Linked DNA regions of Oryctolagus cuniculus. The protein of the gene in region 1 purifies or fractionates together with the protein of each later gene. This does not show direct contact. Links are inferred from orthologs where the notes say so. Each region holds a gene or a part of one and is shown on either strand. Other genes may lie near its edges.

Region 1 (5,000 bases):
CACAGCATCAGCCCCTGATAAACCTTTTAAAAAGATAATATTTTGAAAAGTCAAAGTTACTTTTAAAAATCCTTAAGTAATATCACAATTTTAAATAAAGACTAGTGCTCCCAAAGAAACTTCAACATGGTACATGTACACTCAAACTTGAAGTCAGAATTATTCAACCTATTAAAAAAATCTTCCAAGAAATTTACTCTACAGCATTTTGAACCCACTTGCTAAAGGAATAAAAATGCCACATCTTCTGATTGTTATCAGGGAAGATGGAAACTTACTGGAATTTCAACAAAAACCTTTGCAGGGTTTGTGGCTGGAACTGATTTTTAAAAATGGGTGTTGGGTTGCTAAGAGCAGCTAAAGATGTACTTCTTCCATCAGTATCTACATCTTCGACAGTTACTTTTCTCAGCTAATGGCAGCCTGTGAACACCAAGTCCAGAAATAACCTGAACCGTGTGTGGAATCGAGTATTTTAATAACTGCTTTACAAAGTATTAAAAATTTTAAAAAACTAATCCAAACCAATCATACTTGGCTAAATATTCTTTAGCGGGAGCAACAGAAATGTTTATGCCCTTAATATAATAAACTCAGTTTTTTAAATGTTTGTTTCATCTTTACCTTACCCGTTTACATTTTACAAAGTGCTGCACACAGCAGGAGTGCACAGCTGAGGTCAACAGGTGGATACCTTTTTCTGCCTTTGTAACAGAGGCGAAGGTCTAAAAGAAGTCTGGAGATCCCAGGTGCAGGTGGCTGACGCTGTGGGTGTTGGGAATCCGGCAGGATTGCGTTCGCCCAGCGCGCTCTGACAATCCTGCATCCATCATTGCCTTCGTAATGGAAGCACTAACGTTTGGAAAAACGACTGTTGCGAAATCTGCTTAACCTAACACGTAGCACAACGCTCTCTGTAGCTACAGGAGATTAAAGTTCGCTCATTTTCAAAGCAGAACGTCCGTCCATCGCAGGAACCTGGCCCCGTTGGAGAAGGACGCTCCCTGGAAGGGGGCGGGGATGGAGCTGGGGGACGCGGCCGGGGATGCCGCCACTTCACTGGGGCGAGGAGTGTTGCCTCTCCCAGTGGAAGATGGGCCCCGAGGTCCCTCCCGGCGGGATCGTGAGGAAGGTGGGGAGGAGGGTAAATACTACGCTGGCCCTTCTGACTGGACGGGCCACAGCCCTGCCCGAGGGCGGAGGCCGGGCGGGATCCCACGGTGCTCTCTCCTCCAGCAAGAGGCTGGGGTGTTTGAAGAGGACAGGACGTTCGGAAGCTGGACTGACTGGAAAGAAGCGTATGGACGGCGGGGCCAGCCAAGGGCCTTTCTGCTGGCGCCGCTTCCTGATGCGCAGGCACTCGGGAGAGCGGGGCATGGAGACGCTGGGGCCTGGCCTTTTCCCTGCCGACAGAGGGAGCCTTGAGATGCAAGGTCCTTCTTTTCTCTAACGAAAGGCGTTTGCAGGGCTCCTCGACCATTCTGTACATCCCGGGGCAGAGTAGACACCCAGGTGATTAAAAGTGTGCGAGCGACAACCACCCGGACGCCCTAAGCGCCGGGCTCGGCGCTCGCAGCCCCACGGGCCGAATTCTCGCGAGAGCGGTCGCCGCCATTTTTCCATTGATTGCAGCGGGCTGGGGGAGGGGCCGACGACGAAGGCGGCGGCGGCGGCGGCGGCGGAGCCCTGGGTAGGTGTCTGCGCGCTGGTGTCTGAGGCCCAGGCTGAGGCCTCCGCGATCGCCGGAGCGCAGGCGGCGGAGACGATGACCGCCGCTGCCGTTCTCTCCTGAGACAGAGCCGCCGCCATCCTCCCCCCTCCCCCGGCAGGGCGGAGAGGAGCGGCCCGGAGTCTGAGCGATGGTGCCCGGCGAGGAGAACCAGTTGGTCCCGAAAGAGGTGAGGGGCCAGCGGAGGAGGCTAGGCCCGAGGCCTGCGGCCGCTCGAAGCAGCGCAGGCCCGGGCGCGGGGCCGGCTGGATGCGGGCCGGGCTGTGGGGAAGGAGGCGGTGTGCGGCGGCGGCGGTCGGGGGCGTGGGGTGGGGGCGGCGAGCAGTTGGGAGACCCGCGGGATGCAGGGGCCGGCAGCGGAGACCTCCCCCCACCACCACCCCGCCTCGGGTTTGCTGGGCTGAACAAATAAAGGAGCGAACGGGCAGGGGCCAGGTCCTGGTTTGGGGGGCCAGCGGGGCTTTAGCCCTTATCTAATGCGTGGAGCCGAGACGGAGAGGGATCATGTCAAAGAAACCCTGGAACAGTTGCGGGTGGCACTACAGGGTGACGGTGCTGCTTCTGGTTTTGACAGTGGCCGGGGATGGCTTTCAAGGCTGGTGAAAGCTACACCCTAGTTGAGATCTGTGGGAGGGCAGAGTTAACTGTTACGACTTTTCTCAACTCCTGTTACTTCGTAGTACTATGGGCCTGCCTAACCGGGGCCTACCAAAGGTCGGGGCAAAGTAGTCAGTGGCACTTTCCTTTGCTGGTAGGGGACAGCCGAGCGCTGCCATATGGGGAGCTGCACTGTGTGTTGGTGGCTGGGTTGTGTGTGCCGATTGGGGTGGCTTCTTAAATTCTTAAAAGCAAGCGACATGAGAAGCCTTGACTTCTTGGCTTGTCTTGAATAGTAGTAGGAGATTAAGAGTAGACTCCATCCAGCACTGGCCAGTGAGTTTCAATATATTAATAGTATCTCTCTTGGCTTTATAAATATCTTAAGCGCATTCAAATGTGTATTTTTAACAGGCTGATCATCAGGCTAATGCTTTGGATTTTTATTTCTCATATACCTTAAATAGGCAAGTGTTGGGTTGAAATTAGCTCTGGAGGGTCTTGATATATTTATGAGTGATCGTTACAATTCTTAAATGTTTTTGCCTTGTAAAAGTTGTTTTCTAACAACTTGTTGATACTTCAGCAAGCTCTGACACTCTGTAAAAGTGGTATCATTGGAGTTACCTACTCGAATGAAACAAATATGTTCCCAGCCTGACCAGGTGGACAGTGATAGCTGTTTTGCAAGGATGTCAGTATTTTTTTCTCCCAGCATCACCAACTCTGCAAAGCAGCTAAACAGATGAATTGATCAGAATTCTTGCCTTGGTAGTTTGCTGAGCTCAGAGAGGGAACACTGGAATTCTTTGCACTCTGATTAGGAGCTTGGTACATTATACTGCATAAGTAATTCTTATGCAAGGAAGTGATAGTTGTATAAGAAAAGTATAAACATTTTCCTCTTGGAGCTGTATATTGGTGTTTTTCATTCTTTAAAAACAGAGTTTAATACTTATTTTTTTTCCATTAGAAACTACAGTATAGGTGGGACTTCACTATAAGAAAACACACCATTAGATTTGTTTTCCTAATAATTTATTTTATTTATAATTTATAATTTATTCCCCTAGTAATTCATAGAAAATGTGATATAGATAAATAGCGTCCAGGAATATATCTGTTGTGCAAAACTGATATTTCAATGCTGCCATTATCTCTTGGAAGTTTAAAGATTGAATGTTTCTCTTTCATTTCCCTTCTTTGATGCTTCAAGCTCATCACAACTTTTTGTTTTCCTTTCTACTTTTGGTAGACCATATGCCTTTATTTTCTATTCCTTAGTCTCCGTTTCTTTCATAATTTCTAGACGCGTACACAGTACTGTCAAATCTTGAGGCCATTGCCTTTTTTAGCTGACTGGTTTTTCTTTCTTTTAATGGCCCTACTCATTCTTTGTCCAGCTGATTGCCTCCACTTCCATATTTGCTTCTGGAATCCTGAAAATATGTTCCTGAAGGTCACCAGTGATCTCTTAAATGACCAAATTCATTGTTTTTTTTTTTTCCTTCTCTTTCTTCAATTATTTTTGTAGAATATGATACTTAAAAAAAATCCTAGAGGTGTACATTTAGCCTGGTGGTTAAGATGCTCACATCCCATGTTGAAGTACTTGGTTTCCATAGGCATCTCTAGCTCCTGACTCTAGTTTCTTCTTAAGTCCAACTTCTCCAGACCCTGGGAGGCAGCAGTAATGGGATTAAGTAATTGGGTTCCTTACTCTCACAGGGGAAACCCAGTTTTGGCATGGCCAAATCCCATTCGTCCCAGGCATTGTGGGGTGAACCAGCTGATAGGAGCTCACGCTCTCTCCTCTCTCTCTTTCTCCCCCCCCCAAAAAAAAATAAATAAGCAAGCCGTTCCTGGATTTTGATAATACTGCATGTTTCTGCCCATTTTCCTACCTGCTTGGAGTGTATGCCTACCCTTGTTTAGTCAGAGCCTTTCTTTTCTGTGTGTATGTATTCTTAATTATCACTTTTGGTTGATCTTTGATGTTCCCTGACTGGTGCTTTTACGTAGTAGTGGAATCTTCCAGCGCTAAAGCTAATAGAGAGCATAGTGATCCGCTAGTAATTAAGCCTCTTAACTCTACATTTGAGGGGCTTTTGCTAGAGGATTGAAAGTGACTTGTTAGGGAACACATGAGGAGAAAAGGGCAGGGCTAAGACTAGAACTCCCATCCCTTGATCCTGTTCCTCAGTTCTACTGTGTTTTACAGATGCTTCCATGTAATGTAGAGGCGCTATAAGAATAGTTTTTAACTTCCTGGGTACATACAGTGTGTGAAATAAATTGCAGAATTAAAAATTTAAATTTAAAAATTTATTGCATCTGATTTAATTGCTTTTCATCAACAGTATTGAGGGGTGTTTTTTGCAGGGGGAGGTTCTTACGTCAATAACCTCTGACAGCTTACTACATTTAAATCTTGTTTAGGGGTGTGTATGTATGGATATGTATAGTTGTTGACTGAATAATACTGTGGTCCCTGAAGCTTAATGACAAATGTACCTTAAATGACTACTAAAGAAGGAAGCTTAGTATAGTTAGGTGGTTGACAGACCACAGCCCATGGTACACATCTAACATGCATCCTGTTTTGGTGTGGACCATTAAGTGTGATCCTTACATTTTCAAATTGTTGAAGAAAAAAAATCAAAAGAATAATATT
Region 2 (4,217 bases), on another chromosome or scaffold:
GAGTGGCTAATTCTGTTGGAGAATTCAGTTCTTCACCCTAGCCACTAATGAACTAGACTTTTTTGATGAGTTCAGTAATAACTTTCTTCTTCCCCTCCTTTGAAACAACTCACTTTTTTTTTTTTTTAATTTTGAGATTTATTTATTTAATTTGAAAGGCCAAGTTACAGAGAAACAAAGAGATCTTCCATCTGCTGATTCACTACCCAGATGGCTGCCAGGAGCCCTGAACTCTATCCTAGTCTTCCCCGTGGGTGTGGGGCCCAAGCACTTGGGTCATCTACTGCTGCTTTCCCAGGCACATTAACAGGGAGCTGGATTGGAAGTGGAATAGCTGGGTTTTGAACTGGCATACATATGGAATGCTGCCACTGTTACCTGCTATGCAACAACACCGATCCTAGAACAAATCCTCTTTAAAACACCTCAGGACTTTTAAGGTTTATTTATTTATTTGAAAGGCAGAGTTATACAGAGAGAGAGAGGGAAAGGCAGAAAGAGATCTTCCATCCACTGGTTCACTCCCCAAATGGCCACAATGGCCTGGACTGGGCCAAGCCAAAGCCAAGATCCCAGAGTTTCTTCTACATCTCTGACATGAGTGGCAGAAGATGTAGCCACATGAAGCCTTTGGGCATCTTGTGCTGCTTTCCCAGATGCATTCACAGGGAGCTAGATTGGAAGTGGAGCAGCTGGGAATCAAACTGGCAGCCATATGGGATGCTGGCGTCACAGGTGATGGCTTTACCACAATGCCAACCCCCAACTCATGACTTTTTGAATGAGCAAATGGCAACTGCAGCCCTTTTAAGACAAGCTTATACAAATCTTGGAAATGGGTTAGTTGGTCTGGTTATACTCCTGTTGCTAACTAGCAGCATTTGCTCAGTTTGGAGAAGGGTACGTGGGAATTTCACACAGAACTGTAGCTTCTGTCAGCAGCACCTTATCTACTCCAGGGGCCCCCTGGTTAATGAATTTGGCAGTGTGGATTATCCAGTCAGGAACTGAACTGAGATAAACTGAAGTTTTCTTGTCTCACTTAAAATAGTAGTTCTTCCAGATTTCAGCAATGCTAAGAATGTTTAGATCCTCAATGTTTTCTGCAATACTGGAATTGTTTCAAGTAACTTGTAAAACGTAAGCATGTTGCCCATTAGCTTGATAATAGGCAGTTCAAATGTGCTTCTTTTTGTCAAGGAAATGCTTAGCAATATATAAAATGTTAGTTTTTGTACTAATCTCTGTCATTTTCCTTTGTAGGAAAATTAAAGTTTGGGACTTGCAAGCTGCTCTTGACCCTCGGGCCCCAGCAAGCACCCTGTGTTTGCGCACATTGGTGGTATGTGATCTGTTGAAAGAGAAGCTGATTCCCTTTGCTGAAAGATGGCCGTGTGCACATAGCCCTTCCTGTGACCCACAAGGAGGCCTGTGGATCTCACCACTGGCTTTAAAGTTTAGCCAAAATCAGAGAGGGTTTGACATTTACATCACTGTGGGCTCTTTCTGAAGGAGTAACAGGGCAGGCTTTCTTATAGGGAGACTGGATTCCTCCTAGAACACGCAGTATATTATCTTTCCTGGAGGTTTGGGAGAGCTCTTAATGTGGCTGTTAGTGTCTCTATAACAGCACATATTTGTATTATAATGGTAGCATGTTCCATCAATCTGTGCTTTATGCACATATGTAGTTTATGGCATCTTCATGTGTTAATCTTGTTTTTGCAACTTTACCAATGTCGTTTTAATAATCTGGTTGGTTCTCTTGTATTTTTGAGGAGATAGCATTTGAAAATACTGGTAGGTTTTTCTTATTTTTCTTAGTGATGTTACCATTTTTTTTCTAGTTCTAGCCTCTTGCATTGCATCTAGAACATGCAGTGTTATAGTTAGGGCCATTCTTGTTTTCCTCTTGATTTTAACTGGAATAAATCTGATGTTTCACCATGAATTGTGCTATTGTGGTTAGAGGTAGATATTCTTAGCCATGTTAAAGAAACAGCCACCTGTCCTCTGGTTCTGGTTCTGGTTTTTACAGTATACCACAAATTAATGTTAAATATTGTTTATCTTTCTAAGACCTTTATGAGGTGATCACATCATTTTTCTTCTTTGACATATAAATGGTCCAGGATCCATGATACAAAGTTTAATGAAAGAGAAAAAGTAGAAGGAAAAGCAAAGTATTTGTTCTTGGGTTGAAGGACAAAGCTCAGTGAGTTCTGGAAAATTATTTGGGAAGTCTGGATAAGTAGTTGTGTTTCCAACTTGGGCTGAATCTCTCGCTGGGAGAGATGAGAGGTTGTAAAGGTGTCGTTTTGTTCATGAAGCTGTTATATTTCCTAGGAACATTCTGGACGTGTGTTTCGGCTACAGTTTGATGAATTTCAGATCATCAGCAGCTCCCATGATGACACTATTTTGATTTGGGATTTCTTAAATGTGCCTCCCAGTGCCCAGAATGAGACCCGTTCTCCCTCCAGAACATACACATACATCTCCAGATAACAGTCTGCACTTTCACCCGCTTCTGGTGAGCATTAACCCTGCGCTGATTGAATTCCTCTTCCCTTGGAAAGTTCTTTGAGACTTGGATTCCTCAGTGATGAGACCCCAGGTCTCTATTAGATGTGTCAGCATTCACTGAGTTCTTTTGTAAGACCAGATCTTTGTAGTCACGTACAAACAAGGCTGAATTTGGGATCTTGTGTGTTGTGGGATTTTTATGTCGACAGATGAGGAATGTAATTCCTTTTTAAAATACTGTTTTCTAACTTATTTCTCAGATCATATCAATTTAGCACCAGTGAAGTCTCTGAGTTTTATTTTGGAAGCTCCTTTTCCACTTTCTTTCCTGTTTTTCAGTTCCATCTTTGATTAAAGATATAAAAGAAAAAACCAACTACATAATTAACCAAATATTCAAAGTCACTCTCCTCCCCCCACCACAGTTCTCACTACCTCCCTTCCTTATGTGTGAATCAAAGAAGGTTTTTGTTAAGAGAGCCTCTAAACCCCATTCTTTATCCATGAGATACAACAGGTACCCTGAGTCCTTCACTGTGGTTACAGGAAGACTTAAACTCATTATAACCATTGATGATAGAATGTTTTGTTTACTAAAGATGTTCAATCTGGAAGATGTGTGAAGTCTCACTTGCCTATGTCCTAGGAACTGATGACAATCTGGACAATATTCCCAACCCTGGGAACTTTGCAGGGGCCAGTGAATCTGTGCTCTCCGAACTTTGTTGATTTAATCAATACAATTGCACCTATTTGTACTACTATAAATATACATATATAGAGACTGTTGTGATTAATAAAATTCATGTTTATTTAAAACATTACTTCATTTTAATGGCTTTTATCATTATATACTTTCTTGCTTATTGAATGTTAAAAGGAAAAAGAAATGTACAGAATTTTGAAATTATTTTGATAAAGATTTGGAGCCCCTGATACCTTACTCCTCAATATCCTGTCTTTTCAGCCATTCCTTAATCAAGATTCCAAAACCCAGACAATAGGTATCCTCTAGGAAGTTTGTTGTACCCAGGAGTCAACACATTACAGTCATGGGGCCAAATTTAACTTACTGCCTGGTGTCCTCCCCCCCCCCCCCCCCCCCCGCCACTGCAGTTCCTTTGTTACGAACACCAGTGTCTGGTACAGTGCACAGTATATTAGAAGCAATCATTGATGAATTTTGGGCCAGTAGCACCTGGTGCCATTGCAATGTATTTGGGCCACACAAAGAATGTGTCCCTTAAATGTATATACCCTTATAGCTACCTTCATAATCAAAGCATTTTCCATTACATTTAAATCTCTCTGTAGTCAAAACCTTCCCTGACCCCAGCCTTGGCAAGCACTGGCTTGCTTTCTAGTACTAGGTTAGTTAGCATTTTCTAGAGCTACACTGTCCACTGTAGGAATCATTAGCCCTATATGAGCTCCTAAAATGTGAGCAGTATGCTAAAGGAGCTGAGTTTGTAATTGGACTTAATAATATTTATTTATTTTTAAAAGGTTTATTTTTATTTATTTGAGGGGCAGAGTTACAGAGAGAGAGGAGGAGACAGAAAAAAATCTTCAATCCACTTGTTCACTCCCCAAATGTCTATAATGGGCAGTGTTGGGCCAGGCCAAAGCCAGGAGCTTCTTCTGTGTTTTTTGGATCTCCTGGCAGGGGCCAGGCACTGGGCCACCTTCTG

The links. The genes of interacting proteins can lie anywhere in the genome.
Region 2: the proteins of USP47 (region 1) and FBXW11 purify together in Homo sapiens (affinity purification with mass spectrometry; 10 studies listed by BioGRID and IntAct, counting the BioPlex papers as one, with this or other methods). This does not show direct contact. The link is inferred for Oryctolagus cuniculus from reciprocal best matches to the Homo sapiens genes USP47 and FBXW11.

Annotation. Positions count from the first base shown.
Region 1 is NC_091432.1:54,376,661-54,381,660, reverse strand, and holds the start of USP47 (ubiquitin carboxyl-terminal hydrolase 47), read left to right. Parts: upstream 1-1,650; 5' UTR 1,651-1,859; coding exon of another isoform or gene 1,860-1,898; intron 1,899-5,000. UniProt on the Homo sapiens protein: Ubiquitin-specific protease that specifically deubiquitinates monoubiquitinated DNA polymerase beta (POLB), stabilizing POLB thereby playing a role in base-excision repair (BER). Acts as a regulator of cell growth and genome integrity.
Region 2 is NC_091437.1:58,565,662-58,569,878, reverse strand, and holds part of FBXW11 (F-box/WD repeat-containing protein 11), read left to right. Parts: intron 1-1,263; coding exon 1,264-1,342; intron 1,343-2,346; coding exon 2,347-2,508; 3' UTR 2,509-2,533; intron 2,534-4,217.